Linked DNA regions of Drosophila melanogaster. The protein of the gene in region 2 binds, or shares a complex with, the protein of the main gene of each other region. Each region holds a gene or a part of one and is shown on either strand. Other genes may lie near its edges.

What was found.
Region 1: eIF3l (region 2) and eIF3f1 share a complex: the UniProt entries of both Drosophila melanogaster proteins name them as parts of the eukaryotic translation initiation factor 3 (eIF-3) complex.
Region 3: eIF3l (region 2) and eIF3m share a complex: the UniProt entries of both Drosophila melanogaster proteins name them as parts of the eukaryotic translation initiation factor 3 (eIF-3) complex.
Region 4: eIF3l (region 2) and eIF3i share a complex: the UniProt entries of both Drosophila melanogaster proteins name them as parts of the eukaryotic translation initiation factor 3 (eIF-3) complex.

Annotation. Positions count from the first base shown.
Region 1 is NT_033777.3:4,708,424-4,715,771, forward strand, and holds eIF3f1 (eukaryotic translation initiation factor 3 subunit f1), read right to left. Parts: upstream 5,760-7,348; 5' UTR 5,663-5,759; coding exon 4,820-5,662; 3' UTR 4,459-4,819; downstream 1-4,458. Other genes in the region: smash (smallish), read left to right, coding at 253-626, 737-1,647, 1,754-1,953, 2,475-2,662. UniProt on the Drosophila melanogaster protein: Component of the eukaryotic translation initiation factor 3 (eIF-3) complex, which is involved in protein synthesis of a specialized repertoire of mRNAs and, together with other initiation factors, stimulates binding of mRNA and methionyl-tRNAi to the 40S ribosome.
Region 2 is NT_037436.4:12,138,988-12,148,056, forward strand, and holds eIF3l (eukaryotic translation initiation factor 3 subunit l), read right to left. Parts: upstream 7,111-9,069; 5' UTR 7,002-7,110; coding exon 6,969-7,001; intron 6,264-6,968; coding exon 5,785-6,263; intron 5,731-5,784; coding exon 4,758-5,730; intron 4,699-4,757; coding exon 4,564-4,698; 3' UTR 4,459-4,563; downstream 1-4,458. Other genes in the region: RhoGAP68F (Rho GTPase activating protein at 68F), read left to right, coding at 1,105-1,141, 2,014-2,040, 2,265-2,390, 2,454-2,489, 2,547-2,742, 2,806-3,841; Nrx-IV (neurexin IV), read left to right, coding at 7,868-7,973. UniProt on the Drosophila melanogaster protein: Component of the eukaryotic translation initiation factor 3 (eIF-3) complex, which is involved in protein synthesis of a specialized repertoire of mRNAs and, together with other initiation factors, stimulates binding of mRNA and methionyl-tRNAi to the 40S ribosome.
Region 3 is NT_033778.4:14,159,956-14,167,704, forward strand, and holds eIF3m (eukaryotic translation initiation factor 3 subunit m), read right to left. Parts: upstream 4,871-7,749; 5' UTR 4,577-4,870; coding exon 4,532-4,576; intron 4,416-4,531; coding exon 4,236-4,415; intron 4,182-4,235; coding exon 3,243-4,181; 3' UTR 3,111-3,242; downstream 1-3,110. Other genes in the region: CysRS-m (Cysteinyl-tRNA synthetase, mitochondrial), read right to left, coding at 1-1,136, 1,196-1,206; O-fut1 (O-fucosyltransferase 1), read left to right, coding at 1,508-1,625, 1,681-2,771; CG8323 (uncharacterized protein), read left to right, coding at 5,323-5,570, 5,634-5,769, 6,188-6,715; CG18327 (uncharacterized protein), read left to right, coding at 7,137-7,384, 7,464-7,599, 7,709-7,749. UniProt on the Drosophila melanogaster protein: Component of the eukaryotic translation initiation factor 3 (eIF-3) complex, which is involved in protein synthesis of a specialized repertoire of mRNAs and, together with other initiation factors, stimulates binding of mRNA and methionyl-tRNAi to the 40S ribosome.
Region 4 is NT_033779.5:4,963,846-4,971,610, reverse strand, and holds eIF3i (eukaryotic translation initiation factor 3 subunit i), read left to right. Parts: upstream 1-3,835; 5' UTR 3,836-3,917; coding exon 3,918-3,920; intron 3,921-4,097; coding exon 4,098-4,587; intron 4,588-4,642; coding exon 4,643-5,130; 3' UTR 5,131-5,244; downstream 5,245-7,765. Other genes in the region: l(2)05714 (lethal (2) 05714), read left to right, coding at 315-557, 827-1,399; Polr1C (RNA polymerase I and III subunit C), read right to left, coding at 1,465-2,326, 2,387-2,526; Scox (synthesis of cytochrome c oxidase), read left to right, coding at 2,786-3,179, 3,243-3,604; CG34125 (uncharacterized protein), read right to left, coding at 5,337-5,729, 5,789-5,875; CG34124 (uncharacterized protein), read right to left, coding at 6,336-6,923, 6,980-7,306, 7,362-7,586, 7,644-7,765. UniProt on the Drosophila melanogaster protein: Component of the eukaryotic translation initiation factor 3 (eIF-3) complex, which is involved in protein synthesis of a specialized repertoire of mRNAs and, together with other initiation factors, stimulates binding of mRNA and methionyl-tRNAi to the 40S ribosome.

The DNA.
Region 1 (7,348 bases), on a different chromosome or scaffold from region 2:
AGTATTTTATGAGATTATATGGCAAAATGAGTACGTTTTATATACTCATAGATGGAAGTACATAAATAGTTATTGAGCGAAGTATGAAAAGTTTAGAAAAAAAAACCTATAATGTCTGGACACAAATGCGGGTACTAAACTTTACGTTAATTTTTTTTGTTTTATGGATTAGCCTTTTCCATTGCTCCTAAATATACATAGTTGACTTTTGCTGTCAATATTAACCACACAATTTGTCTAATTCTATCGAAGGTGAAAGCCGCGATTCTGGAGTTTCTGAAAACCACTCTCGCCAGAGCAGTGAGCACTACACGAACTCCTCTGAGGAGAACGATACACAGTCAGAGGCCACACCGCCGCCATTGCCTCCACCACCATCGACCGCCCAAGTGGGTGAAGTCATATACCAAAATGAGAGCCTCCTGGCTGCCCAGACGCCGCTTCTCCAGACGGTAAAAGGAAACTCCGCCGAGTCCTGGACCGAATCAGCAACGGCCGCAGCGGCGGCCACGCAATCATTGAGCGAAGCCACAGCAACGGCCAATGCCAAGATGCAGTCCATCGAGGATAAGATCCGGGAGCAGGGAGAGATGTTGCGGGTGGAACGCGAGCTACTGCACTTCTCGGTAAGGAAGAGGTTCAAGTTTTAGGACCATAAAACTCATTAAAAAATGTGGTCACAGAAAACTATGATTAGCAAAGAAAAAGGTCAATAATTTAAACTTTTCCTTCACAGCAAGAGGAACTGAAACGGCAACGTGAAAATCTTGTGCTTCGAGAAAATATTGCTCGACGAGAGTTGCAACACGGAGCCAAGATGCTGATGTCGAACAACCGGCGCTCACTGCAGGATCTGCACCACGGTCTAGGAATCGGAAACGGAATGCTCAGTGCCTTCCAGCCACCGCAACACCACCAGGTTCAAATGCCACCACCGCATCCGCAACAGATTTACGCCAATGTGCCGCAGCAGCAGCAACAGATGGTTCTGCATGCATATCACCAGATGGACACGGACTACCGCAAGTCCATGTCGGATCTAAACGAGTTCTCCAACTGCCTGATACTGCCGCCAACGCCGCCCACAAAGCCATTGAGGGCTATGCAATTGAACGCCAATGGCCATGGCCTGGAGCCAGATTACGCTGTTAGCACGAGGCAGCGCCAACCACCGGCTCCGTACGGTGGCTCTCTGGTAAAGATTGCTGGAGCACCAATGCCGCCACGGCTCCCCGGTCAAGGATATCCCATTCAAGCGCCGACAGCGCCAGCATACCATCACCAGTCGGCCCAAAACTTAAGCAATATGTCCAGAAACACATTGCTCGCTTTGAGTGCCACCCCCAAACCAAAATACGCGGACGGATGGGTGCAGGTGCAGCAGCGGAAGAGTTATGACAGCCAACAGACCAGCGATGCGGCTTGGCTGGCCGCTCAGCAGCAAAAGCGCAAATCCATGCCTGACTACGGCGGAGCACTCTACAATAACAACCACTGGCTACTGCAGGAGGCGGAGCAGCGACGCATCGAGCAACTTAATCGGCGATCTATACCAGCCAGCAAGTCGATGGGCAAACCGCTGCCCGATTCCATCATACAAACTCTTACGGAGCGGGTCCAGAGCAAAGGAATCGGCGATCGAAAGCGGTAAGTAGTAATATATAGGTGACAAGGGAAACTCTACTTTACTACATCTTACATAGATGATCTTTTTTCATACCTTATATTTAATGCAATTTTAATTCACCAACAGCTTCGATAGCAACGGGAACTATAGCCAGGTAAATGGCAACAACATCTACCAGCAGCAACAGCAGCAGAAGAATGTGACGAATGGCAGCAGCATCAATGGCAACAGCAGCCAGGGGCAGGAGAAGGTGCTCAGCGTTAGTGGCAAGAAGAAGTGCTCCCATTGCGGCGACGAATTAGGTAAACTTTGCTACTACGTTGGTTGTGAGTGTTGTGGTTGTTCTACTACTTTTGAATACCCCCATACCCCTCTTACTCTTACATCGTCCATTTTTGGGAACATCTTTTAGGCTTGTTGTCACAGAGAGAGATCATGAATAGAACACACTTGGATTCACTAGTCTCATGGTTGGGTTTGGTCGATCATTTAATGCTTTCTCCTTCCCATTGGTTATAAACTCTTTATCAATAAGTTTCCATTCTCACTTACATGTCTGTGACAGATCTGGGCTGCACTCACGGCAATTGTCGGCAGGTGCACAAAGCGCTAAAATATATTGTTTGGGTGTAAATTTAAAAAGACTGCCCAACAGTTTCGAATATTTTAGGTATATTAGTAAAATCTTGGAAGCGGAATATAATATCTAAGTGGTGGGGTTATTTATAATCTACGTCACTTCTGTTGCAATTTTTGTTGCTTATAATTTTAACTTTCGTTAACTTCCGCTTCAGTGACTCCTTTAATCCGGCAACTAAGCTGAAAGATTCCTTACCTAATTCCACAGGTCGCGGCGCTGCCATGATCATCGAATCGCTTCTGCTGTTCTACCACATCAACTGCTTCAAGTGTTGCGTCTGCCACGTCCAGCTGGGAGATGGCCTCAATGGAACCGATGTCCGGGTGCGAAACCACAAGCTGCATTGCCAAAACTGCTACTCCAGCGATGACGGCATTAAGTTCAGCTGCGTCTAACTGAGCCCTCGCCATGGAAACGGAAGTGGATTATTGAATAGAACTGGGGTTGTTGCTCTGTTGCTTTTGCAACATTGATTGTTGTTGTTGTACTAGTAATACATAGATATTAAATAGAGATGATAATTCGTACGTTCACATATATACAATACATATATCTACATATGTTGAGAACAAAGTCAAATCCAAAACGTTTCAGATTAGTGTTAATCGCTTTAATATGCTTCCCTACGAAATTATGTAATGTTTTAACTCGGATTTAAAAGTTTTATACAACGCATTCTACATGTTATAAATCAAACTCTATACATTTTACATGTTTAAATGCCAAGCTCTCTAACATTGTAACAAAGTAATGTGTGTTGAAACTTAAAAAAAAAACCAAAAAAAGGATTAACTTTAAACGAAGTGTTAAAATTTTGAAATTGTTTTGAATTTATATTTACACCTCTACTCTACACATCTACACAATCTACTATTTCTATCCGAAAATTCGCTTTTAAATTAGTTAGTTTCTAACTTTTTGTACCCGCTACAGCCCACTTAAAATACCTAACGACGCATCCAATGTACCTAAAAAAAACTATATACAAACACCCATCCACACGCAACTCACTAACATAATTATTATATACATACCCTTAAACTTGCATGAGGTGAGCATATATCGCGAAAGATTTCATTTCTTATATCCCTTATTTTTATTTATTGTAATTTCGCATAAAGTTGAAAATTTGTATATTATATACACATCTTGGATTGTATGATTAATTTTTAAACATGATCGGTATATGAATAATTTTTCTGTATAAATACATCAAAGAAGATATAGTTTAGTTTTTTAATAAACTATTTCAATGAAGAACTATTTCATATTTTGATCTGCAGAACGCTTAAAGTTAAAAGGTGTATGGTATGTTGGTGGTAATACTTCAATGACTAGGAGATACAGTCCTTCAATGATGAAACAATCATTTTACGTTTCTGAACTTATCATTGTTAATTAAATTGTTCTAAAATGTATAACTTACCTGTCCTGTCGCATTTCCGACAAATATGCTAACAAAGTGGATGTCAATTCGACATGCTTAATAAAAACTTACAACTGAGTTCATAAATTTTTGGGAGGAACCAGTATCTGCTAATGTAACACTGTAACTAATGTTATTGATTTAAAAAAAAAACTTCCGCATTCTGAGATTTAAATTTCGCCCAAAAGTATGCATTACGAATATATTTAAATTGGCCACACAAACTTTCATATGAAAAGTTTTTTTTTTAATTAATTTATATATTAAGGCATACGGGGAAATCTTGGAGCCCCTTTGTGTCCTTCTTTCATATGAAAAGTGTGTTTTTTTATGCTCTTTAGAGTACCTTTTATTCTTCACCAGGATCAAGAATCAGCGCAGTCGATCTGGCCATGTTTGTCCGCATGAACGTCAAGATCTCATGAACTATAAATGCTAGAAGATTAAGGATGCAGATTGCACAGAAAAGTGTAGGCGTAGCTCAAGTTTATCCTGGTGCTACCAAACAATTGAAAGTTAAGTAACGCATATGATGCAACGAGGTGCTGGTTATAAAATGTAAGAAACTAGTTTTTAATAGAATGTGTTGTCATATTTCGTCACAAAATTTGATATTATAACTTTTGTGTGCCGAAGGTACGATCATCAAAGTTTGATATTAAAGAATATAAATATTACTATTCTTACAATAAACCCAGCACCGATGCGACTCCCTGAAACCCTATAGAATAGTGAAGCTCACCAAAGACTGAAACACAACATTTTGTTTTAGCAGTTGGGTGCTAAATTTTCAGTTGCACATGCATTTATTTTGTTCCTGGTGATGAATACTGTTGTGTTTAAGAGTCTTCAGTAGATTCGAATGCTCCTACAAACGCCACATGGTCGTTTAGTGTAGGTGTCACAGGATTCATGCTGATTCTTCAATTGAGTTATAAAAAAGATAATCCCATATATATTTTCTTTAGTATGGAATGTCATTCTGACCAGAGTAATCGATACAAGTTTTGGTTTTTTTTTTTGGCGATCAGAGCACTTTATTACGTAGACCCCCATTGATAAAAAACACAATCAGTTTACAATGCCACCCTTAGTAGATATTACCACTTCAACAAACGCCGTCGTTCTAGGCGGTGGGCAGGAAGGTGAGCTTTTCGTTAAGCTGCAGCTGGGTTTTGATGAGCTGGGAGAGCGTGATGACCAGCAGAAGGTTGCGTACGTTGGCGTTGAACATCTGAGTGAACTGCTCGTGGGTCATGTGCGGCACGGAGTGGATAAGGTCTAGCAGCTGGCGTCCGACGGCGTTGTCGGGGGTTACCTTGTGAGCGATCACGTCGTCAACGTACTTGAGAATAAGATCCAGCAGGGACTGCAGCTTCGTGGAGGCCTCCGAGATTTGGGCCAGGTCCAGCATTGGCGGAACGGTCTTGGGACGGTGAGCGGGCGAAACGCCTACGGTCTTCTGAAGCAGCTTGAGCCCAAATGTCTCCGGCTCGTAGCTGGTCAGCTCGACAGGAATGGGCGTGAACATGCAGCCGCTCTTGCCGCCGGGAACTCCTAGTTGAATGCAGACATAAGCACGCAGACCCATACGTCCGCCCTGCAGCGAAGTGTCCACGGTGAGGTGAACCGGGTTGTTGCATTCGCGGGCGTAATACTCGTGGATCACCGAGCTGTGGTTGGTAACGTCGTTGCCGGTGGCCCACCAGCCTACCACGCTCTCGTTGGAGTTCACCTTGCGGTTGAGGTCGTACATGTCCAGGGCGTAGCTCAGCTCTGCCTCCACCTGGTCATCGTGCTCCTTGTGCGGCACACAGAAACAGTTGGTAACCTCCACCACACCTTTGTCCACAGAGCCGAGCAGGGTGCCGATGACGCGGTGCGAGTCCGCGTTCCGCCGCTCGAAGGCGTCCACCACCTGGAAAAGCACCACCGGGTGCACGCGCACGGTCAGATTGAGAGCCGACATGGTAATTTTCGGTGGCCAAGATTTGCAAGGAAAATTTCCGCAATAATTTCTATTCAGCCACGCTGCGCGTATGTTTTAGGGATGCAAGAAAAGGGCCTATCGATAGTGCGGGTGGGGGTTGATGGCTTTTGGAGCTATCGGTGCGGTCGTGCGTGGCCTATCGTTTTATCGATGTAAAACCGGTGGCTAGCGTTAGTTAATCAAATACTATTCAAATTTGAATATGTCGGAGATGCCAAGCGCGACTTTTCATTTACTTCAGCGTCCATATTGTCCAGCACATCAAGTCGCCTGCGTGTTGTTTCTTCTGTCGTTCTAAGCAGACTAATTTACTCAAGCGTCGCCTTCGCGATGCTTTTCTTCTATTCCTCACCTTCACTCAATTATTTCATCCTTACTTCGTTTCCAGAAACTATACAACAACAACAACAGCCACACAAATGATGCCCACTCAATAACGGAACGCTTTCCGTGAATTTCATTGCTCGCTGCTCATTCTTAACATAACGGATCAATAACAAAATGTCGGTTACATTCTACTACTCAATCTTGCTTGTGAAATTTTGCTGATCAAACGTGCTTAAAGCGAATTATTAAATTTAATAAAATGCCTGGAAAGAGATAAACTTTGAAGTTACCCAATTAATAAACTATAACCACCAGTTGGGAAAATCTTTTCCAGAATAAGTATAAATGTTTTCTGTATCCCGTAAGACCGTCTACTATTTTTTAAAAGGCTCGGAAAAAGAGGACAGGCTTGAACCTAAGAGTGGTGGTGGGCGGAAAATTAAAATTAAAAAGCGTGTAGACCGCTTTATTATGCGAATAGAGATTGCGAACCCCCGGTCAGATCACTTGCTCTGGATATCAGGCAAGAGTGTCACCTAACTGTGTCACACGAAACTGTGCGCCAAGTCATCCTACGCCATAGATACTCTTCAAGAGTTGCGAGGAAAAATCCTTTGCTATCAGATGCCAATATGGAAAAGCGTCATTAATTCGCTGTGAACAAGGTGGATCATCCAGAAGAGTACTGGGATGACGTCATATTTGGTGACGAAACAAAAATTATGCTCTTTTATAACGACGGGCCAAGCAGAGTATGGCGCAAACCGCTGAGTGCGCTAGAAAAACAAAATATCATTCCAACGATAAAATTTGGAAAAATGTCACTGATGGTTTGTGGCTGTATCACCAGCCATGGAGTGGGAAAACTAGCCTTAATTTAGAGCACAATAAATGCCGTGCAATATCTAGGAATCTTAAAAAACAAATTTGAAGGCCGGTGCAGAAAAATTTGGTCTAGTTAGCAACAACAAGCCAAATTTTATATTTTAAGAGGACATGATCAGAAACATAAAGAGTGCAATGTACGCACCTGGCGCCCTTATAACTGTGGTAAAGTGATCGATACGCCCCCTCAGAGTCCTGATCTGAACCCCATTTAAAATTTGTGGACCTACTTAAAGAAGAAGGTGGCAAAAAGGGACCTAAAACACGACAACAGCTTATGACTGTAATAGTCGAAGAGTGTGAAAAGATCCCGTTTGAATATGACCTGCAAAAACTTGTCCATTCCATGAAAAAAGGGCTTCAACTTGTAGCTAAAGCCAATGGGGAACATACTACATACCAAAACTTTTAAAATTTTAATAAAATAATTTAAAAATTTAGGATTAAACATCG
Region 2 (9,069 bases):
AAAAACTTAACTGAAATGAGAAACGAAAGCGTGATTAAGACAAATTCATCATTCGTATAAAATGTGATGATTTCTTGTGACTTATAGAAATTCGTAACTTAGTATAACAAAAAAGTAAATATCATTTAAAAAGGCTAGACACAAATGCGCAGTTTACTTGCAATTAATCGGTTGTTGTTGCACAGAAATTGCGTTTTTCGACAAGAAACTTGTGAAATTTTTACTCAACTTCTGCGTGTGTGTATGTGCAAACAGTGGAGGGACAAAGGAGCCTACTCCCATTTACAGTGGCGGCCTAAAGGATTTGTCACCTTTTGAAACAGTGGTGTCAAAAAGGATGTGTACTAATCTCAGTTTACGCTTGAAAATTATTAATTTATTTCCCATTTACAATCCAATCACGTATTTAAAATAAAGTCATACAAGCTGTATGTACAGTGCACCCTCCCTAGTTAGGACGCTCAAAAAAAAAGAACTTCCGTTCTTTTATATACTCAAGTTATCACAAGAAATTATCGCGACAATATATAACCATTTTTGGCAGAAACGAAGGAAGCAAACTACGTTTCACTTAAAATTGTGCCTTTCTATGTGCTTTTGTGAAGCTTTTTGTCGAAATTGCGATAAGCAGCCTCTGTGTTTTTGTGTTATCTCTTCGAAAAACAATTCACTTGTCTTGAGACCGCAGTCATGGCCACTTTAAATGTCCCCACTGTATGTATGCATGTTTGAACATTAGAAATGGAGGCGGTGGGCGTCTTTCAGGGCCAACTTAGCACTAAGACTTCGAGCAAAATCATTGATGTAAATGAATGTGAATCAGCCGTGCCATACAACCTGTACTATATCCAATACCAAGAAATAACCATCGAACAAGCAACCCAAACAGCCAAGAAAACTACATAGCTTGCTAATGACGTCATCGATAGAGTACTGGCAACTGCTGCTTTTGGCTAATTTATTCTCACATTTCAGCCGCATACATTCTACATGCCAATAATCGAGCCCAACGACTGACTGAGCCACGTCCTGCGTCACCGCGAGTAATCCAATCACATCGAACGGATAGCACCTGAATCCGCATCCACTCCCATCTCCACCGCCATGGACGCCCATTCGCGTTTCGCGCCGAGATTACCAGGTAAGTCCGCCGGCCGAACGGCCAAGTCATGCTTTTCGATTCGAATATATATCTAGTTTTGATCTTTGGTTCTGTAACTGCTTAGCATTGCCATTGTCCAGTGATTTGCCTTATTTGAGCGTTCAGAAATAGTTCCCAAAATAAAGAACTTCGTTAATACTAACTACCTAATCTAATGAAAGACGTAATTGTAAAAGAATTATCTGTTTGATTGCCTAAATATAAAGTAACTAATTGTGGGTACACCATATGGAAACCCATTTTCCCATCATTCTCTTTTAACTTTGAGCCCACCATGAAGATTATAAAAACGGGCCTAAAAATATGAGGCCAGGTTTTCTACAATACCTCACCTCCAATCTGTGTTTCAAGTTTTGGGAGTCATTTCTTTGCGCTGCTTTATTTCGTTGTTTTCATTGCCGTATCGTAGTTTCTTTGAGGGGGGAAGTGCCCTCGTTTGAGAACTAACAGTTAAAGCCAGTAATTACGACTAATTTTGTGCCCCGCCCCGCCCCGCCTTGACTAACCCCCAACCGCCGCCCCCTAACCAAGTTCTTTGTTTTTGGTATCAAGTTGCGCTACTAACCCCATTTCAAACTGCATTATCCAGCCTATGTGGGCAGCTTACCGTCTCCTCCTGTACATACATAACTTGCATTTTAAAACTATCCAATGTGGTTTGTTTGCTTGGTTTGTTGTGGATCCTATTTGTTAACTACTTTTCGCTAGCTGTGTTGTTGCCAATGTTTGGTTACCCGATGTGTTTTGTGATCGTATGTGTTTGCCCTAGCCCTTATAGCCTTACTTCATAGTCTATAGTCTAATCGCCCTAGCTTAGAGTTTCCTAATCGTCTCTGTTCTGTTCTGTTCAGTAATCGTCTGCCAATTATATCGAAACCGTAAGACTGTTGATTATACAATCAGATGCCAATGTACTTAACAAATGAAATTTCTCTGATTCATGTCTATTCACTTACTCAAACTCAATCCGAACTAAACTTGTTGCCTCAGGCCGTCAAAATACTTAACTGAAAGCATTACTTGTAAGATTACGTTTTTGGAATACAAGTCCGCGCCAGGGAAACCTACGAGATTTATAAATGCCTTCCTCTCGCACCCCAAGGTCCCGCCATCAATCCGATCGTCGATAACTCGGATGAGCCCCAACCCAGTCTCTCCGATCTGCACGACTTCGAGCCGAAGCTAGAGTTTGATGATACCGAGCTGCTGGCCCCATCTCCGCTTGAAAGTAAATTGAATATTTAAAGAATCTACAAAATCATAGTCAAACTAATTCTTCGATTTTTCCCAGAAGATGTTATGGTCGGTGATTTCGTTCTGGCCGAAGGTAAGTGGCGGAATCTACTTCTCCTGGCCAATGAATAACGTTTCGCATTACGCCTAGATCCAGAACTTGAGCCCGAGGAAGATGTAAATCCGCTGGAGGACGACTTCGAGGACCAACTCAGGGAGCAGTCTGAAAACTTTCAGACTCCCAGAAACAAATGCGATTTCCTGGGAACCGATAAGCAGGGTCGCCACATCTTTGGCATTTATGCATCCCGCTTTCCCGAAAAATCCCAACTGGAAGGATTTGTGCGGTAGGATTCATATTCGAGTACATTTTTTGTTCAATCATTAATCTATTTCCATTTGTCTATCAGGGAAATCATCAAGGAGATCGAACCTTTTGTGGAGAACGACTACATTTTGGTTTACTTCCATCAAGGCCTCAAGGAGGACAACAAACCATCCGCACAGTTCCTGTGGAATTCGTACAAGGAGCTCGATCGCAACTTCCGCAAGAATCTGAAGACGTTGTATGTGGTTCATCCGACGTGGTTCATACGGGTCATTTGGAACTTCTTTAGCCCGTTCATTAGCGACAAGTTCCGCAAGAAGCTAGTCTACATCTCCAGCTTGGACGAGTTGCGCCAGGCGCTCGGCCTGAACAAGCTGAAGTTGCCGGACAACATCTGCGACCTGGACGACAAACTGAACCCCAGCCGGAAGCCATCGACACCGCCGCCCAGCAGCAATATAAATGCATCCCGGCAGCAGCAGCACAAAATGGCGACGACGCATCAATTTGGTGTGCCCCTGAAATTCATTGTGATGAACAGTCCGTGCTTAAACTCCATTCCGCCAATTGTGCGCAAGTGCGTGGACTCGCTGTCCATAACGGGCGTGATCGATACGGAGGGCATATTCCGTCGATCGGGCAATCACTCGGAGATCATGGCGCTCAAGGAGCGCGTCAACCGCGGCGAGGATGTGGATCTGAAGAGCGTTAATGTCCACGTGATAGCCGGCCTGCTGAAGAGTTTCCTGCGCGATCTCGCCGAGCCGCTGCTCACCTTCGAGCTGTACGAGGATGTGACCGGTTTTCTAGACTGGCCCAAGGAAGAGCGTTCGAGGAACGTGACGCAACTGATACGCGAAAAACTGCCAGAGGAGAACTATGAACTGTTCAAGTACATTGTTGAGTTCCTGGTCAGGGTGATGGACTGCGAGGATCTGAACAAGATGACCTCCTCCAACCTGGCCATCGTGTTCGGTCCGAATTTCCTGTGGTCGCGCAGCACCAGTACCTCCCTGGAGGAGATCGCTCCCATCAATGCTTTCGTCGACTTTGTGCTGCAGAATCACAAGGACATCTACTTGATCGACGTCAATCAGCGCACAGTGTCCGTGGACTAACAACTGGCCCGGCCACCAACAAGTCCGTAATTGTAAATTGTTTGATTTTAATGTTAGTCCTAAGTGAACCAATGGTTAGCTAAAGAGAGAGCACACAAAAACGCAACAGAAACTAGAGAACAGAAGGCAATGTCGTGTATAAAGTGTACTGTAATCCTAAGTTGAATTTTAAACTGTGTGTATGTGTGTGGAACTGCTTGTAGCCCCAACTCCACGCCAACTGTCCAACCCCCCCGAAAATCACAATTATTTACCCCCAACAAGCGCTTAATACGATTGATTTACCAAAGAAATTTGCTCGTGTTCGCTATGCGACGAACAGGAGAGAAATTTGATATGAGATGTTATTATTATATACTACGTATTAATTCAACGCACATTCCCCCATAACCGAAAACGAATCTTGGTTGCGTTGCTGAAGGCACATGCCGAGCACAAGTGGAGTTGTGGCGAACTCAAAAATCGTACTGTGTAGTCTTGAATTTCCTTATAGTCATACAAACAATTTTTATAAAATAACGGTATTGTTAAAAATAAAGCAAGTGTTAAAACAACTTGGATTCTTATTAAAAATTAGATAATTATTTTAAATTATTTAAATACTCAAGACACATTTTGAGGACCAAACTTGCGCAAGATCGCAAGCGATTTTTATTGATATCGAAACAAATCGGTCCAGTATGGAATATTAAATTTATCATTAAGGGTCACAAGGAGTCGGCTTAAATGTTGATGTTCTTCAATTTGCGATTCAGATCGTTGAACTTAAGAATTTTACGCACAAAGAAGTCGCCATACCGATGTGAAACCTTGGTGTCGGCTATGTGGATCATGTCGTCGTCGATGTAGAAGTCCAACTAGAATATTAATGTATATTATTATATTTGCCATCAGAATTTGTCTATATTAATCTCACCTCGGAGCCAGACTTGAATGTGCCTTCCAGGCCGCTGGGTCCCTTGCTCCACACTAGGTTGCGCATTTTGTGCTTGAAGCAAAGCAGGCGAATCAGCAGCTTCGACACGTCATCCTCGCTGGCGTTGGGATCGATGAAAGATGCCAGTTTGGTCAGCGGCAGGGTGGTGTACAGCTTTAGATACGAGCGCGTTGTGGGCAGATCCTTCTGTTGGCGCACCTCATCCATGAAAACCTGCAACTGGTGTTCCATGGGGTCCTTGACGTAGTCGTCCATGGGTGCGTCTACAGCTGGCGGGCAGGGGCTCACGAAACGTGGGCAGGCGAAGACAAAGAAGGACTTGAAGACCTCCAGATCACCGCACTGCATCTTAAACATGGCGTCGTGGTAGTTCTTTTCCCTGAGCACCTGCTGGATGGACTCGTCGATGCACTGGGGATGGAGTACCAGGCAGATGGCCAAAAGATGGTACATCTGCTCGGCCTGCTTGTTGATTTGATCGTTTTGGTATGAACGCGTGCTGTACAGCTGCTTGGTACGCTGAATGTACAGGAGGATATCAGAAAAGGTGCGGATGGCATCAGCGTAGCGGCGCATCATCATGTAGGCGAAGCCCACGTAGTACGACGTCGAGATTTGGCAGGCGGGGATGTGCGAATAGGCGGACTTCTTGTGGATCTCAATGGGCTCCAGCACCTTGATGGCCTGGTAGTAGTCACCCAGCAGCGAATGAACGCGCAGCAGTCCGACAAGGGAGAAGTATCCCAGCATCTTGTAGAAGGACAGTTTGCCGAAGTCACCGGCCACGGTTTGGGGATCAACACCTTGAGAGATGGCCTCCAGCTGCTTCTTGATGTTCGAGATGTCCACAAGGGAATGCAGAACGTTGAGGATGCAGAGAATGCTCCACTCGTTGCTGTGGTTCACGCACAGCTGCTGGATCTCATCCTGCGATTTCTCCGTAAGGCGGGCGCTGCAAAAATGGAAGGTTAATCGAGTTCCACAGGCTGCGGAAACAGCTACATACCGATACTGCGCGAAGTTCTGGAACTGATACACGAACTCATCCACCAACTCCCACAGCCAGATGTCGGGCAGCTCCAGCATCACTGGGTTCTGGGCCGAGATGATCAGGTTGAAGAAGTCGCAGTAGTTGAAGAACGAGTTGATCCTCTGCTCCAACTTGGGACCACCGGGGATGCGGGCGTGGATGTGGCGATAGTACAACTCCTTGTATAAGATCAGGAAGACCTTGTCGTTGTCTACAATAGCAGCCACCTCCTGCTCCTCGGGCCAAGCAGTCTTGTCGAAGTGGTGGTCGCTGATCTGCGGGAACGTGTTCTCGTACATGTTTTGGATGTCGTACAAGTTGCCCTCTTTGATCGCCTGGCAGAAGTTTATGAGGAAGTACTTGACGTTGTCCGGCATCCGGGCGGCGTAGTAGTTCCTCTCGTACTCCATGTCCAGTTGCGGGTCTCCGGTATGAGCGTAGTCATCGTAGTAATCCTGTAATATGTAAAAAACCCAATGACTTTTTGGAAGCAGAATTGCAGGAAATACTGATCTACGACTCTCTGCATAAATGAGCTATTAAATAGAGTTAATCGCTTAAAGTGGATCGATTTTATAAATTAACAGCTTGCCTAGACTATTGAAGACTTTCGACTTTGTAAATAGGAATTCGAGAGACTATGCTACAACTGTTCCGAGTTTAATCCCGACCATTTAGCTAAGCGAGCTGTAGCTAACAAAACGAGCGCATTCCTACGATTACGAAGTGGATGAACCTTAGAGGGGTACTTCTTTCCACGGCATCTCTAAGGAGTAAGCTAGAATATATTCATGTGTTCTTTAAAGGTGTGTACACACCATCTAAAATTGCACGCAAATCAAAAATGTAGAAGGTATTATGACTTATTAATAATGTACACCGATACCAATAATATACCACATGGCGCCGGGGTGTCCCCCGGACTACAGGATTCGTTTCCAAATAGCAAAGGAACGTGTCAAAGGAGTGGCCCACGGATTATCAGTGCTTAATGACCTATGATGATCTAAACACCAACTATGCCAAGTCGTAAAACGGCTTTAAAATCATCCCAGTGAGTTTTGTATTTGTGCGAGGGCAACAAAAGATGGGTTATGTTGTCGGCGGAGTCCGGGGATTGGTTTCCCGAGAATGAATCATTCCTCGCTGGCTGCACTCACCGAGTTGGTTGCGTATTCGTCTCCACCGTACATTGTCGCTGTTTTATCCTCTCCGGGTTACACACAAAACGAAAAAACCGATCAAATGCTTAGGAAATTGACAACACGCCAACAAATTTTTGGCGAAAAGAGGGATAAACAGTGTGACCAACTATCGATAATGATACTACTACGACTATCGATGTTTTACGCCCCTATCGATTTGGTATTCGAAATAATTTTTTGTAAAATATGTATTTTATTTCAAATTTCTGGATAGATAAGAAAACTAGATTTTTAAAAAATATTTTAGAGGGGATTTGACTTATTTGCCATTACATTTGTATACTTTGCTTATATCATTCATTTTGCAATGATATTACATGGCTTTAAAACTATGCAAAAAAATTTCTATCACGAATTAATATAAATGTTAACGGAAAGCTATTATTAGTGACCAAATTTAATTTCATAGTAGCAGTTGAAATAATTTGTAAATACTTCATATACTTAATCACACGATAGCTTAGCTCACGCGACAAGCACCCAGTTGGTGACTCCCTCGGTATCTTGCCACGTTTGAGTCACGGTCACACTGGCAGCGAGACATTCTGTTCGTGTGTCATCCGCGTTGCGATAATTATTTTCTTAATTCAAACGAAACTCTTCCGAAGTGGGCGTGATCTGCTGGAGCCGTACACCCAGTGGATAAATTACATAAATTCAAAATCGATTTAAAGCGGAGCGTAAAGTGCAGTCCAACGTTTTTAACACCGCGGACGCGTTGCCACAAATCATCAGCTTTTCACGGTGGTTTTTCCAGCGGAAAAGTGCATTTTGGTGTTAAACTTCTTCGGAAATCGAATATAGATGTGTTTATAAATCTACCAAGCGATAGTGTTTAATTAACAGCCTCCAAGATGAGGCCGCCCAGGAGCAATACGAAAGCAGCATTTTCCTCGCTTCAGTTTGGATTGTTATGCCTCCTATTGCTGGTCAATAATGGCATTAAATCGGTGCAAGCAGGTAAAAACCAGTGATACCCATTGACTAACCCAGGAATTCAGATCCTTTCGGCTCGATTTTCCCAGCAATATGTGACATAAAACGTCGATTGTTTGTAAGCCAACTTTTTGGGCGTGTTCCCCAAAGCTGAAGACTCGCTCTTCCATTTTCCTTTGGCCCGTTGTTCGCTTTTTAACTCGCTCTTAGCGATCGCGAGAGTTTTGGTGAGAACGGGAGAGCGATCAAACGGTTGCTTACGAATAGCGGTGGCAAAACAAAAATGCCGCTTAACAACGCCCGTTTTTACTCGTTCGTTTTGAGCAAAGGCATTGGGGTTTTAGATTCTTGATTTCCGGACTTTTATGAAGCTTCCCGGGGGAGCAATTCGAAAATTTTGCCGGTTGCATCCCCAGTTGTGCTTGCCTTCTTTTCCGGCTTTTCAAATGCGCATGCGGCAAATAAGAAGCATCTGCTGATTGATGATGCTGTGTGAAACAGGTGATTTTATCATTATCCTTCCATATGTCAACAGACTTAAGCGCTTTTCCCCACAAATTTCCACATATCTTGAAAAATAAACAATCTATCGATGATATGCAAACATTTTTATGACTAAAAATAAACAATGCCGCGCAATTAATTTGCCTTGAAGCGTCGAAAGCAGACAGCCGACATATATCCTCCCAGACTTTGGTCGATTTCCATAATTTATTTCGGTTCTTATTGCCTCGAAAATAGCATCATTCGCACTTCGAGTTTCCCCCAGATGGACGGAAATGGCCTTTCAGACCTCGTCATATTTGTTTCATTTAGAACATTAGCCAAATTCTATGTATTTCGTTTTCTTTCTAATCACCATTGGGCAATTATGTAGCAAAAAGTAGTTCAAACTGGCTATATATGTATGTACATATGTTCCTGTGTTATTTACCAGAAGATTGTCATGCGTGTTTCCTCGGTTTCCTTTCGAGCTTATCAGGTTGATTTGTACCACTCCACCCAAGACTCAAAGTCAGCTTAAAGTGCCCACGAACTCCGAATGACCTCGCAAGGGTTGTTTTCCCCCACTCCGCTAAGAAAATGCCAGTGTGCTGTTTGCCTAGGAGGAGCTACTGCT
Region 3 (7,749 bases), on a different chromosome or scaffold from region 2:
GCACGGGCTTCAGGAATTGGGTATAGGCACTTAGATCGGCCTGAAAGTTTCTAAACCGCTGCAGGGTCTGGCGAGCCGTCACCATCAACTGATCGCTATAAGGCATTGCATTGCGGTAATTGGACAGCAGGCAGGCCATTCGAAACTCATCGGCGGTGTACTTCTTCAGCAGCTCCGACACGGAGATCGTGTTGCCCAGAGACTTTGACATCTTCTCCCGATCTCCAACCATATGAAGTTGTCCGGTGTGCACCCAATAGTTTACCCACTGGTCAGTTTTATACCGTGCACAGCACTGCGCCTCCTCGTTTTCGTGGTGCGGAAAACGCAAGTCCAAGCCGCCAGCATGAATGTCCAACTGGCGGCCAAAGAATAAACCTGCAATGGCGCTGCATTCAATGTGCCAACCGGGGCGTCCCTCGCCACCCCAGGGTGCAGCCCACGTGGGCTCACTGCCACTTTTACGCGCCTTCCACAAGGCAAAATCGGCAGTGTTTCGTTTGATGGGGTCCAATTTGTCCTCGCTTAGGCCTAAGTTTTGAAGCTTTCCATAGTTCTTGCTTTTGGAGACATCAAAGTAAACAGAGTTATCCGGGGTAACGTAAGCCTGCTTTCCGTCTATCAGCTGCTGAATGAACTGAATAATGACAGGCATGGTGGTAGTCACATGACTGCGCACATCCGGCGCCTGAACATTGAGACGCAACATGTCCTGACGAAATTCCGCTTCATAAGCTCGCGCCATCTTCTGCCAGTCCAGTCCAGCGAGCTGGGCCCGCTTAATGATCTTGTCGTCAACATCCGTGATGTTCATGGCTGTCACCAGGTTGATTTTAAAATAATCGCGGAGAATGCGCTGCAGGATGTCTACCTTGACATAGGTGCTGGCATGACCTAGGTGCGCGGAGTCATAAACAGTGGGTCCGCAAGTGTACCATGTGACCATTTGGGGATTGCGTAGGATTAGGGGTACCTTCTGCCGCAAGCCGTGATTGTATATATTGATTCCTGTGTGCTGGCCAATTGGTTTTCTCCATTTAAACGGACTATCCTGTTTGGGAGCCTCCTCCGAAATGTTGCGCCGGCAAATGAGAGCTGGTCTCGTTCGACTGTTAAGAGCCCGGAGCCCCTCCTTGCTGTGGGAAACATTTGGGCTTAGAAATACAAAAAAGACACTATCCGCATAAATACTCACAGGCTATACATTGTTATATATTGTAAATTTTGTCTAAAGTCTAAATAAAATTATTTCTAAAGTTTCATGTAAGCAATAACATCTGATTAGAAAATAATAGGTTGCCAGATCTGAGCTTTTTAGCCCATAGTAAGAAAGTCTCACAATAAAATTAAAAAATAATTTCACAATATAATTTCATAAATTTTCAAATATATATTTATGTTTGCAATTATATTTATATCACATCATAAACAAAAGCATTCCAAACATTTTGTAATCTGGCAAAGAGACAGAGTTGCCACCTGGTCAAAGAAAATCGAAGCCGGCAGAATGCAGTGGCTCAAAATGAAGCTTCGCTTCGTAAACTTAATTTTACTATTAATAAGCTCAACATGTGCCCAATTGGGGGGCGATCCCAATGGCTACCTCACCTACTGTCCGTGTATGGGTAAGTTTCACTTGGAAGCAACCGAAAAACGACAACTAAACCGCGCTTTTCAAAGGACGCTTTGGCAACCAGGCCGACCACTTCCTGGGATCATTGGCCTTCGCCAAGGCGCTTAATCGCACCCTGATCCTGCCGCCGTGGGTGGAGTATCGTAGGGGTGAACTGCGATCCCGTCAGGTACCGTTCAACACATATTTTGAAGTGGAGCCCCTGAAGGAATACCATCGCGTCATCACCATGGCAGATTTCATGTGGCACCTGGCCGACGACATTTGGCCAGAATCGGAGCGAGTGTCATTTTGCTACAAGGAACGATATAGCCTTCAGCAGGAGAAGAACGATCCAGACAAGCCCAATTGCCACGCCAAGGATGGCAATCCTTTTGGTCCCTTTTGGGACACTTTTCACATAGACTTTGTGCGGTCAGAGTTCTATGCGCCACTTCATTTTGATGTGCATCATAGCAACGAGGCTGCCAAGTGGCAGACCAAATATCCTGCAGAATCATATCCCGTACTCGCGTTCACCGGAGCTCCGGCTAGTTTTCCTGTTCAGCTAGAGAACTGCAAGCTGCAGCGCTACTTGCAGTGGAGTCAACGGTATAGGGAAGCATCTAAGGATTTCATCCGAGAGCAGTTGCCTCGGGGTGCCTTTTTGGGCATTCATCTGCGCAACGGTATCGATTGGGTGAGAGCCTGTGAGCACGTCAAGGATAGCCAGCATCTGTTTGCCTCGCCGCAGTGCTTGGGCTATAAAAATGAACGTGGTGCACTCTACCCGGAGCTCTGCATGCCCTCCAAGGAGGCGATCATCCGCCAGCTAAAGAGAACCATTAAGAACGTGCGCCAAACTCAGCCGGACAACGAAATCAAATCAGTTTTCGTGGCGTCAGACTCCAATCACATGATTGGTGAACTAAACACGGCCCTTAGTCGCATGGGCATCAGTGTGCACAAGCTGCCGGAGGATGATCCTTACCTGGACTTGGCCATTCTCGGACAGTCGAACCACTTTATCGGCAACTGTATATCCTCTTACTCGGCATTCGAAAAAAGGGAACGAGATGTGCACGGTTTTCCATCGTACTTCTGGGGATTCCCCAAGGAAAAGGATCGTAAGCATACAAACGTGCACGAGGAGCTGTAATGGAGCAACAGGATTATCTACTTAAATACTCGAATAGGCTATTTTTCGGTTTTCTTTCCTAATACTAGACAGTTTTATTACATTGATTAAGCAATATTCTGGACTTCACTTCTTAAATGGTTAAGGTAAAAGTTTCAACTTACAAATTTAATGAATTTACTTTTGAATGTTACCAATATTTAGTGCTTTTAAAGAATATCAGTATATTTATGTTTTATTCTTTTAGCTTTAATTCTTAAAAAGGATTTTAATGAAACCCGTTAAATGCCTTCAAAAACACTACAACTTAATTGTAAGCTATTAAAGTATTCCTCGCATTTATGAAAACACTTGTTTGCTACCGATTTTACTTATAAATTTATTCAAGTTATCCAGCCCTCTCGCATTCTTGAAAATAATTTAGGTCGTCACTCCAGTGCCCCGAGGCCAGCATTTGTTCATCATCAGTGCAATTTTTTGGAAGTGGTGCGCCTAGTGTATCAGCTTCTGGGATCGAGCCAGATCCAGTTGCGCCGAGGAGACGCTCGTTAGACCCTCGCGCACTGTGCTGAGGTTCTCCTTCCATGCCTGCAGCAAATCGCGAAGCTGCTCCCATTGTGGTGCTCCAAAGGTTCGGTGCATTGTCGATGAGATGTGTACCTTTTGATTGGCCTGATCTAGTCGTGCGCGTACCAGCTTTGTTTTCAGCACCTCGATGACGAAGGGCTCCACCTCGTCTTCGTTGATCTGCAGCTCCTTGGTAAGCGTTTCGAATGTCATCTCCGGGCTGCTCTCGGCCAGCTGCATGAAGGTCAGCAGACGCATCTTCTTCATGTTCTGCTCATGGTTCAATCCTTGCGAGTTGACAAACTCCCTGTGATCCTCGTAGAACTGCACGTACGCTGGCAGCTTCTCGGACACGAAGATGGACAGCAGGTCGTGGATGAGGTCGCCTTCCAAAAAGCGCACAGGCTTCAGCGACAGCAGAGGATCCAGCAGGAATGTATTGGGGTCGGCCAAGGCAGTCACAATGCACTTCATGGCATCCTCACGGGCAACACAAGCATTGTCCGCCGTGTAGGTGCCCAGCAGCTCAATCATAACCTTGGAAGACAGCTCCAGGTTGGTGTCCTTGGTCACGTCGTGCAGCAGGCGGTACAGCTTCTGCATCTGTTCCGACGAAGGTGGGCAGTTGGCAAACTGGGATTTGAGCTGATCCACACCTGAGAAGACCTCCAGCACCTGTTCGCACTGCTTGGCCACCTGGACCAGGTGGTAGTACACATGGTAGCGTAAGGGAGAGGCGGTGTCCAGGTTGTTGAACAGACGCCACAACGACTGAAGGCACACCTTGCCCAATGGAAGATTGGGAGCCTTGGTCATCTTCTCGCAGTAGGCCAGGACAATGTTCTCACCGCGATCCAGGGGTATCTGAAATATTGAAGGTTATTTTTTGTTGCTAATATTGTATTCTGTATTACTCACCGTGATCATGATGGACACAATGCTGTTTAGAATTCCATCAATCTGCGAGGGCTCACCATCCTTAAAGCAAACGTCGCAGACGCCGATGATCTTGTGCAAATCATCCTCCACACCTTTATTGGACTTCTCCGATGAGATTTCGGCTCCCAGCTTCTTGAAATACTTGCGCAGCTCTTGCACCTTTTAATAAATTGCGAATAATATTAGTTTTGTTTTGCAGCAAGAGGAAGACATAACCTCAATTCGGGCAAGGCGCCGCCCGAATTCATGGCTAAAACAGGGCACTTTCACTCTACCTGCTCGTCCAGGGACAGGTCTATGAAAACCGGATGCGAAGTCATGGTTTTGTTAAATGTTATTCCACTTTTTTAAACAAATTCAGCTGAAAATAACACGCACACACGTCTTCGGCGCTTTGACAGCTCGAAAGGAAAGAGAGCGACCAGTGCTGCCGGCCTGGTCCGTTTCCCGCTAATAGCGATGCTCTCAAACAATTGACCGAATTAAATTAAGATGACGTTAACGTGGCCACTTAAAATATATAATATTCCTCTGAAATTCATTCAGTTCAATAAAATTAAAATAGTTATGGCTTTGCAAGTGTATTAATGCTGACATAAAAATCAATTTTATAAATGTTTTGACGGGACTCTAGCTAACAATAAATGTGGGCAAAAGTAGTGTTCCCGGATCTTCTGAAACATATAAGTCACTAAGTGACTTCTTAGCCGTACCGTTACTAACGTTCTAAAACCCGTTTCTCCTGAATTTTAAATTTACCATCCAGCAGTTATTTATTTTACATTTATCACTTTACAGTTAAGCAAAATGACACGATTTTTGTTAAATTGTTAATTTGGCGACAGTCTGGCAACTCCGCTGCTACTAAGTTATATTGCTCGCCAAATTTATATTATATTTGTATAACGGGCGAGAAGAGCAGGAGTAATGCCAGCTAATCGGGGCGGAGAATTATGAAATACACGACACACACGCAGCGTGCGGCTTCCTAGAGCCACAGAGATTCCGCAGCAGGCGGTACAACCGTTACTAGTCAACCACTATCCTCAGCAGAACTCGTGATTACATGGCTACATCGGATTTTGTTCTGGGCGGCCTGGCCTCCGTGGGGGCCACCTTCTTCACCAATCCCATCGAGGTGATCAAGACACGGATCCAGCTGCAGGGCGAGCTGGCGGCACGGGGTACCTATGTGGAGCCCTACAAGGGGATTGTCAATGCCTTCATTACGGTGGCCAAAAATGATGGCATTACGGGGCTCCAAAAGGGCCTCGCACCGGCCTTGTACTTCCAGTTCATCATCAATTCCTTCCGGTGGGGAATTATTTAGTAGCTATATTTTATAATTATTAATCATCTTGAATTTACATTCGCCAGGCTCAGCATTTATTCGGAGGCAATGGAGAGGCGGTGGATGCACAACCGGAAGGGTGAGGTGTCCTACGGAATGGGACTACTGTGGGGCGCCATCGGCGGCGTCGTGGGGTGCTACTTCTCCAGTCCATTTTTCCTGGTACGCCAATTGTGGGAATGCTGCGGGAGGTTACATAAACAAATACATAGTTTATCTAAATGAGCCGCGTGCTCATCAGCATTATGGACCTTCCACAGATAAGAGACTTTATTGGCAATTGTCCATCAGTATCTAAATACTACCATTTCAAGATATCCAGGGAGAAAGTATTATACTTCCAAATATTCCATATTTTTTGACTGTTTATGGTTGTTTGCATTGCTTATTACTTTATGACATAACGCATTTATTGTTAGCCTATTTATACCAAGACATTTTCAAGATCTAGAAACAGAAAAATATTCGCTAAATAACTTAATAAGTATTGTAAACATTAACATATTATCACAGTCAATTCTCTTATGTACAATGTCTATATTTCTATATTATTATTTATGGTCCTTTCTTTTGCATCCAGATCAAAACTCAGCTGCAATCACAAGCCGCCAAGCAAATCGCCGTTGGCTACCAACATGCCCATACTTCCATGACAGATGCCCTGCGTCAGATCTACTCCAGGAATGGAGTACGAGGACTGTGGAGAGGATCTGTGGCCGCATTGCCCAGGGCGGCTTTGGGATCAGGTGCCCAGATAGCCACCTTTGGTAAGACCAAAGCCCTGTTGGTCCAGTACGATCTGGTGACCCAGCCCACGTTGAACTCCTTCTCGGCTGGCTTGATAGCCGGATCCATTATGTCGGTGGCCATAACGCCGCCAGATGTAATCACCACGCGTCTGTACAATCAGGGCGTAGACGCCGAAGGACGCGGTCTTCTTTATCGCGGTTGGCTTGACTGCTTTGTGAAAATCCTACGATCAGAGGGCGTTTATGGTATGTACAAGGGGTTCTGGGCCAACTACTTGCGCATTGCCCCCCACTCAACCCTTGTGCTGCTATTCTTTGACGAGCTGGTCGCCGTACGCACAAAGTATAGTAATCAATGACCCCAAAGATCACTGGCTAGGTAGCATTAATTTAAGTACAAAATTGTTAAAATCGTTTTTACCACCCGGAAATATACACATTGCTTTTTATTATTAAGCCAAGCTTTGATAAACAAATTTGATATGCAAGTGCCGCCGCATACAATTTGTTTGTCTAAATCTGGCTTTAGTCTTTAGTGAGTTAGCTTAATGTCCTAGTTCCAATCTCTTAGATTAGCAAAGCCCCAGAACCAACTTGTGCCTTCATTAAGCTAATTTAAGAGCTCTTCCTGTAGCCATTAACCGTGCAATATTTTGGTGAAATAAACCAGTTTAACTGTTACATTTTAACGCATATTGCTCTCAAGTCTTAAGCAGCTAGCTTATCGCAAGTGTGGCGTTAGTGATCACTAGATTGTGATACAGAACGGACGTCTCATTGATGGCTACGTCGGATTTTGTGCTGGGCGGCGTGGCTGCCATGGGCGCTGGTGTCTTCACCAATCCCGTCGAGGTGATCAAAACTCGCATTCAACTACAGGGAGAGCTGGCCGCCCGAGGATCTCATGCTCAGCCTTACAAGAGTGTCTTCCAGGCCTTTGTGACTGTGGCCAAAAACGATGGAATTCTTGGCTTGCAAAAAGGATTGGCTCCAGCGCTATGCTTCCAGTTTGTAATAAACTCGTTTCGGTAGGTTAAAGCTGTTTGTTATCCTACAAGGAGTTTTCCAAAAATATACATATGTGCTCTATCTCTCTATCTGCTCTAGATTGAGCATATACACCCATGCCGTAGAGAAGGGTTGGGTCCACAACAACAAGGGCGAGATCTCATTCGCAAAGGGCATGTTCTGGGGCGCTTTGGGCGGCGTTGTGGGTTCCTATTGTGCCAGTCCCTTCTTCCTGGTAAGCGATTATGTAAATCAAACACTGAAGGTGTCTGCTTCCGCGAATATGTGACAATGTCTAGCCGTGATAAGATAAGGCATCACTGATAGCTACATTTCCATTCTAGATCAAGACGCAACTTCAGGCACAGGCAGCCAAGCAGATCGC
Region 4 (7,765 bases), on a different chromosome or scaffold from region 2:
TCAAAAAGTACATAACACAACCATAAACGCCTCTAATATAAACTTGAAGGCATAAAATGTTTATATAAACAAAACAGCTTAGTGTGACCGTTGCGCAGCAACCTCTATGTCGCAACCCTGGAATTAATTGCTGGTATTATAACGTATTCGATTACAGTCACACCGCATCGACTTTCAGATTTTTTTCGCGTCGCAAATTTTTGGAATATACCAAAATATTTACCACCATCAGCTATTAAAGACTGCTTTTGGCGCTCATCTTTCAAAGAATACTTTTCCACAAATCAGACAAGCTTCATCCGAAAGCGGGCACAATGCTGAAGGGTTACAAGACGGATGAGGACAAGAAGGTGAAGCGACTGTACCACCAACGCTATCGCACAGAGTGGGAGAAATATCCGGAGCTCTCCAGCTGGCTGGCGTCTAGTAATGACGGTTACTCGGCGCACTGCAAGATCTGCGACATCAATGTCCTCGCCAGACTAGCGTCCATCAAGCAGCACCTCGCAACGCGGAAACACCAGGAAAGTTTCAAGTACCACAACATTCTTGCCAAGGTGGGATTGGGTTTGTGCATAAGCAATAGGAATGACCCGTGTCCATTATTGATTCAAATATTTTGCGATCCAAACTAAATTTCAAACACGATTTTTGTGTGAGTTTTCGCCATACTTTTCGTTAACTATTCCATTGACTACTTCTTGTGCAATGGTTAACCAAACCAGTAGCTCCCTCTATGCGATGCACAACTTATCGCTCCAAAAAAAAAATTCTCATCTCATTACTAATTTACATAAAATTAACAACTCCGTATTTATACCTACAGAATATGATTAAGGGTGAACTTGTCAAAGATGAGCATGACCCAGACTTGGAGGCCTCCATAATTTCACCCAAAGCAAAGCCCAAAGCCAAATCAAAGACCTATCCAAGGCAAAAGCCAAGGAGCAAAATGCAGCCAAAGATCAAGAACGACACGAAGGTGGAGAGCATGGAGGAGGAGACGGAGGAGGACGAAATCGCCTCGAACGACTCAATCCTGGATGATTTACTCAGAACAGATCAGCCCTATCAAGAGCAAGAATTTGAGGTTGAGAACGAGTTCCTCGAAGTACAACAGAATGAAACAGATCTCCAGGACCAAGAGGTGGTCTACGAGGAAGAGATGATACAGCTCAAGCCGGAAGATACGGAGATTAATAACGAATACCAAGTCGACGCGATGACGGAAGACACCATTATTAGTGAATTTGACTTGTTTGGCAAGAGTTTGGCTCTGCAGCTGAACAACATGGACCTGGAGGACGCACTAATGTGCCAGGAGCGTCTGCAGGTGGTCCTAACGGAATTTCGCCTGAAGGTGCTCAAGCGCAAGAGAGAGCAAGCACGATCTTCGTAGGCTTACAATTTATATCAAGCTGTCTTATGTACATAATATAATTTCTTTAACAACTAAATAAATAACTATTCTGCCTCAATTTCGTCAATTAGCGCCCGGCACTTTCTCTTCAATACCTTGACCGCCTCCAGGAAGATGACATCGGGCTTCAGTGCGCCGACTGATTCCACGGAGAAAATGTAGTGATCTCGGATACGGGCCAAAGTCACAGCGTCGTTTAGCTGGGGATAGCGATACACATTTCGGCTGCACGTGTCGTAGCGTGCATCCTTTACATAGGCAGTTTCATTCTCGTCAATGCCAATTACTCCTGGTGAGAAACAGTTCTGTAATAGGTACGCATCCTTACCGGTCACCTCGCGGTTCAGCTTAATCATGGGCAGCAGTCGGTAGGTGGCCGTGGCCACCGGCGAGAATTTCGCGTGATCCCGTCCAAGTCCCTTAACCGCCACCAGGCGCAGATCCAACTCGTGACCCGGACGCAATTGGGCAATCAGTATGTCATCGTGAATGCAGTTCACAGCACTCTCGCTGTATATCTGCGCCTGCTTTCCTTTGGGCAGCCACTTCAGATGACCCGAGTACACTTTGTGGTTTTTGTAAATGTCATCGAAGTTGGACTGATCTTTTCCAGCATCCCGTCGCCGCGAGCACTTCACCTTCAGCTCAAATTCAAGCGTATCCTGCTCGGTCCCCGCCTCAGTGCTTTCCTCGGTGCGGTATGCGAATAGACGGGGATCAGCCCGCAACGGAAGTAGACCCATTCGATGGGCAAGTACCTCGTCCTGGATGATCGAGGTGTTGTTGTATATGTACACCTTTTCGATGGCCATGCTGGGCACATCGCTGAGCATCAGGCGACGGAAGGCATTTGCAATGGCGGGATACACGCCAATCAGATCGAACTCCAGGCCGTCTTCGTCGTTTCTAGAAGTGAACACCAATTGTTAATCGACTCGTAAGATTCTAATTTCTATTGAGATTTACCTGACGATTTTGATGTGCAGCTTTTCCTTGAAAGCCTGAACGGAAAATACATCGTCCGCCAGTCCATAGTCCTGCGGATCCTGCTTCACCCGATACTCCTCCATGTACAGAAGCGGCTCCTTGCGATTTTTGCTTGCCATTTGCCCCGGTGTTTTTATTAAATAATTTAACAAAATTGAACCGCACGTGTTGGAATCAATAAGACCGCCTTCTAATACCAAAATATACCAAACTAACTAACAAACTAACTAATATACTAAATAAATATACTTTATGTACTAAATAAATGCTGTTTCGCCGTGACTGGCTGAATAGGAAGAAGCAGCAGGACACCGGCGATATTTTTATTTCTCCAGAAGATTTACGTAAAGCCTTCAAATTTCTGAAACCGGGCGTAAGATGTCCCGCTCCCTGCAACGCTTAGTGGGCAGCTGTCGTCGCTGGGCACAACAGCCCGCAATTCGTCATTATGCCGCTCCCGCAGATTCCACTAAAGGCAAGGGTCCGATCTCTTGGAGAAGTCTGGCCGTCATTGGAGCCCTTGGAGCCGGAGGAGTGGGCTTCATGCTGTACGTGAAGAGCGAGAAGGATGAGGCGAGAATGAAGGAGCGTCAGCGGCAATTGGGAAAAGCAGCCATCGGCGGCAGTTGGGAATTAGTTGATTCGCAGGGAGCTGTTCGCAAATCGGAGGACTTCTTAGGCAAGTGGCTGCTCATCTATTTTGGCTTCACCCACTGCCCGGATATTTGTCCCGATGAGCTAGAGAAGATGGCCGCCGTCGTCGATGAAGTTGGTAAGTAGAGCCTGACTATTTCTTCCAAACCCAAAAAAAACCATGTTTCTCAAACCTTCACAGAAAAGTCCCCGCAAACGCCAGCAGTGCAGCCCATCTTTATCACCGTTGACCCAGAACGTGACTCCAAAGAGGTGGTGGCCAAATACGTAAAAGAGTTCTCCCCCAAACTGCTGGGACTCACGGGAACCGTCGAACAAATCCGCAAAGTGTGCAAGGCCTTCAGGGTTTATTTCAGCGCTGGACCGCGGGACGAGGACAACGATTATATTGTGGATCACACCATCATCATGTACCTGGTCAATCCCGATGGCGAGTTTGTCGATTACTACGGCCAAAATCGGGACAAGGACCAGTGTGTGGCATCCATTTTGGTGAACATAGCCAAGTGGAATTCAATGAACAAAAAGGGATGGTTCAGCTAGGCTGGCTAAGCTAGGCAAATGTTGTTTCGTTGTATTTACTTAATGTATGGCATAAAATATGGTTTTTACTTGATGTATATCAAGTTTTAAATCCAAATTTTCGTTTATATTGGCTATACCTTAAGTTCTAGATTGTAAAAATTTCTGGTTGTTCAAAATAAACTTGATTAACGGTATTTTTTAGATCCCCCTGGTATATCGAAGTGAGATTTTGACTAGGCCACGGTCACACTGCTCTTTTGGCGTGTAGTGCTGCGTGGATGTTGTTGCAAAAATATTCGTTTTCTCGCAACAAATAACAATATAATACAAAATGGTGCGTGCCTGGTCAATGACTACACAGTTTGCATTATTCCGGATGGGTTTCTTTAGAATTTACCCGAAATTACAACTATTTGCAAAGTGTGAAAGTCGTGTGAAATTCCGGACCAAACATAACCTTAAAAGCGGCCTAAATTGTTGCTAAAAATTCGTATTATTCTGTCTTTTATAGCGTCCGTTGATGCTTCAGGGCCACGAGCGTTCCATAACGCAAATCAAGTACAACCGCGAGGGCGACCTGCTCTTCTCCTGCTCCAAGGATCAGAAGCCCAATGTGTGGTACTCGCTGAACGGAGAACGTTTGGGCACCTACGATGGTCACCAGGGTGCGGTCTGGTGCCTGGATGTGGACTGGGAGAGCCGTAAGCTCATCACCGGCGCCGGTGATATGACCGCTAAGATCTGGGACGTCGAGTACGGCACCGTTATCGCCTCCATTCCGACCAAGTCATCGGTGCGCACCAGCAACTTCAGCTTCTCGGGCAACCAGGCAGCCTACTCAACGGACAAAGCGATGGGACAGAGCTGTGAACTGTTCCTCATCGATGTCCGCAACGCCGATTCCTCGTTGTCGGAGCAGGAGCCCACACTCCGCATCCCGATGACCGAGTCCAAAATTACGTCGATGTTGTGGGGTCCTCTGGATGAGACCATCATCACAGGTTGGTGTTTACCCGATAATCTATTATGAAAACCGTTTAAAACCCGTATTTCCAGGTCACGATAATGGCAACATTGCCATCTGGGACATCCGTAAGGGTCAAAAGGTGGTTGACTCTGGCACGGATCACAGCGCTGGCATCAACGACATGCAGTTGAGCAAGGATGGCACCATGTTTGTGACCGCCTCCAAGGACACCACCGCCAAATTGTTCGATTCGGAGTCCCTGATGTGCCTCAAGACCTACAAAACGGAGCGTCCAGTAAACTCGGCGGCCATCAGCCCAATCATGGATCATGTCGTGCTGGGCGGCGGTCAAGATGCCATGGAGGTGACCACTACGTCTACGAAGGCTGGCAAGTTTGACTCGCGCTTCTTCCACCTGATATACGAGGAGGAGTTCGCCCGACTCAAGGGCCATTTCGGACCCATCAACAGTTTGGCCTTCCATCCGGACGGCAAGAGTTACGCCTCGGGCGGAGAAGATGGTTTCGTGCGTGTCCAGACATTCGATAGTACATACTTTGAGAACATCTTCGAGTAGTTTGTATCCAGTAGTGATTTAGTAGGATCAGAGCCGGTGGACTTAACATAACCATTTCACCGGCGACATGTTCGTTTGCTTAGGGAACTTTCAAATATACGCGAGGACGAAACGAAACGGATCGCGTCGTTTATTTTTATAACATCAAAGGAGTGGAAAGAGGTACAACATGATTATATTCGAGTAAATGGTGTGCCATGTGTAACCTAAAAAAAGGAACGCTTTTTTTGCTTGAGAACCACAGGCTGACCCTGCATGGCCGCCCACTGAGCCGGTGTGGGCAGGCAGCCCGGCGGAGGAGGCGGAATGACGACATTTCCGTTGGAATTTGTCCTCACCTCGGCCCGTGAGTCCAAGTGGAGGACCTGTGCTGCAGCTGCTCCTGCCGACGTACTGGGACCAGCAAGTCCGAAGCCACTGCCATGTGTCATACCGTAGTTGGGCTGCCCGCTGAAGGGCATCTGCTGTTGCTGGTGGCTGATCATGCCGTAATACTGATTCTGGCTGGGCGGAGCACCTCCTCCTTGTGGATAGCCATAGGCACCAGCACCGGTGCCGCCGTTTCGCTGGCTTTCTTCATACGTTGGCGGAGGAGCTCGCTAGAAGTCGCAAAACTTTAGATGGCGACTGGTATTTGATAATCAAATTAACTTATTACCATGGCCATGTCATCGCCGGAATGGCGATAGTCGTAAGCGGGAGCACTTCCCTCGCTTGGTGGACCTGCTTTTGATGGCTTCGACATCTTATCTCGTCTGTAATTTGAAGTTGCACTTTGTTTACTTGCAGTTTCTCTGAGTCACAAACAGGGTTGTCAGCTCATCGAGATTAGTGATGTCGTAAAGTTTTCCCGTCAGATCTGGATTTATTCGAAATTTATTTTCTGCACGCGAATTGCTATTTTATTTCTTTGGCGTTTTAAAATAAATAAAAAATGGGAATAATATGTCCCTCACAATTTATTAGTAAATTTTTGAGTTGTGCTATTAGGACGCCAGTTATTGAAACACACGCTTTTACAAATAATTCAAAATCAGATTTAAAGATGTTCTATGGTAAAATATACATGTTTGGGTCACCTTTTTCGAAATTCAAAGTGAAGTCTACAAAAAAATATGTATTGAGTTACTTTTTGTAAATCGATGTTGTCAAGTTCCAAAAATAATTAATTTTTGAATTTCTACCAAAGTATTTGATATGGATGTCTAGAAAGGAAGCCCACTGCTGGTTCCTGGCTTTTTCGTGGCGATCCTCACCGACATGGGCGACTCGCAACTGGGCTGCTTATATTGCCGCCTTTTTATCAGGTCTCTTTGAATGGAGCTTCCCAGGCTGCGAATGGGCACCGCTGTAATCCCATCGATCAGATTCTCCCGGGCGTGCTGGAGCGTGCTATCGATCAGCTGCTCCACGGCTATGGCTCGAGGATCCACCATCGGTTCACGCTCCAGCACGTCCACAATCATGCGCAGGGTCTCGTCCGCCTGGAACTCCTCCAGCGGCAGCACCTCAATCAGCTCTTTGAACATGTGAGCGACGATGAAGTGGGTGCGGTTCACAACCTCGGAGTCGCCCATATGGACATGAGCGCACAGCGAGTCCTTGGCGTGATCGAAAATTCCGGATATCAGCTCCTCGGTGTTCACATCAGAGCGTTCGTAGTCGAACACAGCCACCACCTCGTTGAATAGCTTGCGAAGCTCCTCGTTGCTGATGTGGATGAAGTACTTCTTCGGCACAAACGTCTGCAGATGCTCCGTTATGCACTCGGCTATGCGATCCGTGTACCGACCCTAAAATATAACCTTTGGTAAGATTGAGTAAACTAATTGCTTTTAGATCTAATCACCTGGAAACTGTAGGCGGCCTGGCACAAATAAAGCGAGGAGCGCTGGGCAAACTTGCGCACATTCTCCGGAGTGGTGCTCTTCCCAAAGAAGCGATTGAAACTCTTCTGGACAATGGTCTGTACGCGATCCATGATAAACTCATCGGGCATGGGTGGCAGCATGTAGGCGTCGACATTGAGGATGGCCGGGCACACCATCGCATCGTCGTTGGGCATTATTTCACTGGTCACCACCTGGGGCTGTGCATTGGGATCCACCTCGAACTCGTAATTGATTTGCAGCGGCTTGGACTTCAGCCTGAGAGCGCAGATCTCCCGCTCCAGGCACTGTTGAATACATAATGCTTTAAGGATCTGAAATCAGTTTTGGAGAATTACCCACTTCAATCTGGTCCAGCAAGGATTTTTCAATGCCCCTCAGCTTCTCAATGTCGTAGGATAGATTTAGTGCATTCGGATTGGCCCACTTGGCATAGTTTTTGTTCTGAATGTCCAACAGAGTGCGAAGGATGTTGTTCTCTTCCCGGAGCACGGTCATTATGTTAACCTTCTCGGTGTTGTTCTGGGTCTCCAGGACCAGTTCCTCCTCGCAGCGAGCGAGTTCTTTCTGATGCACAATAGTTGGATATTAAAGAAATTGTTATACTTATGAAAGCAAATGTACCTGTTTCTCCAGGAGCTCTTTTTCGAGGGCCATAAGCTCATCCTCGGCATTGGTTTCCAGATCGAAGATGTAGCGCCTTAGGACCTCCTCCTCCAACTCATCCAGGTTGACAATAATGCCGA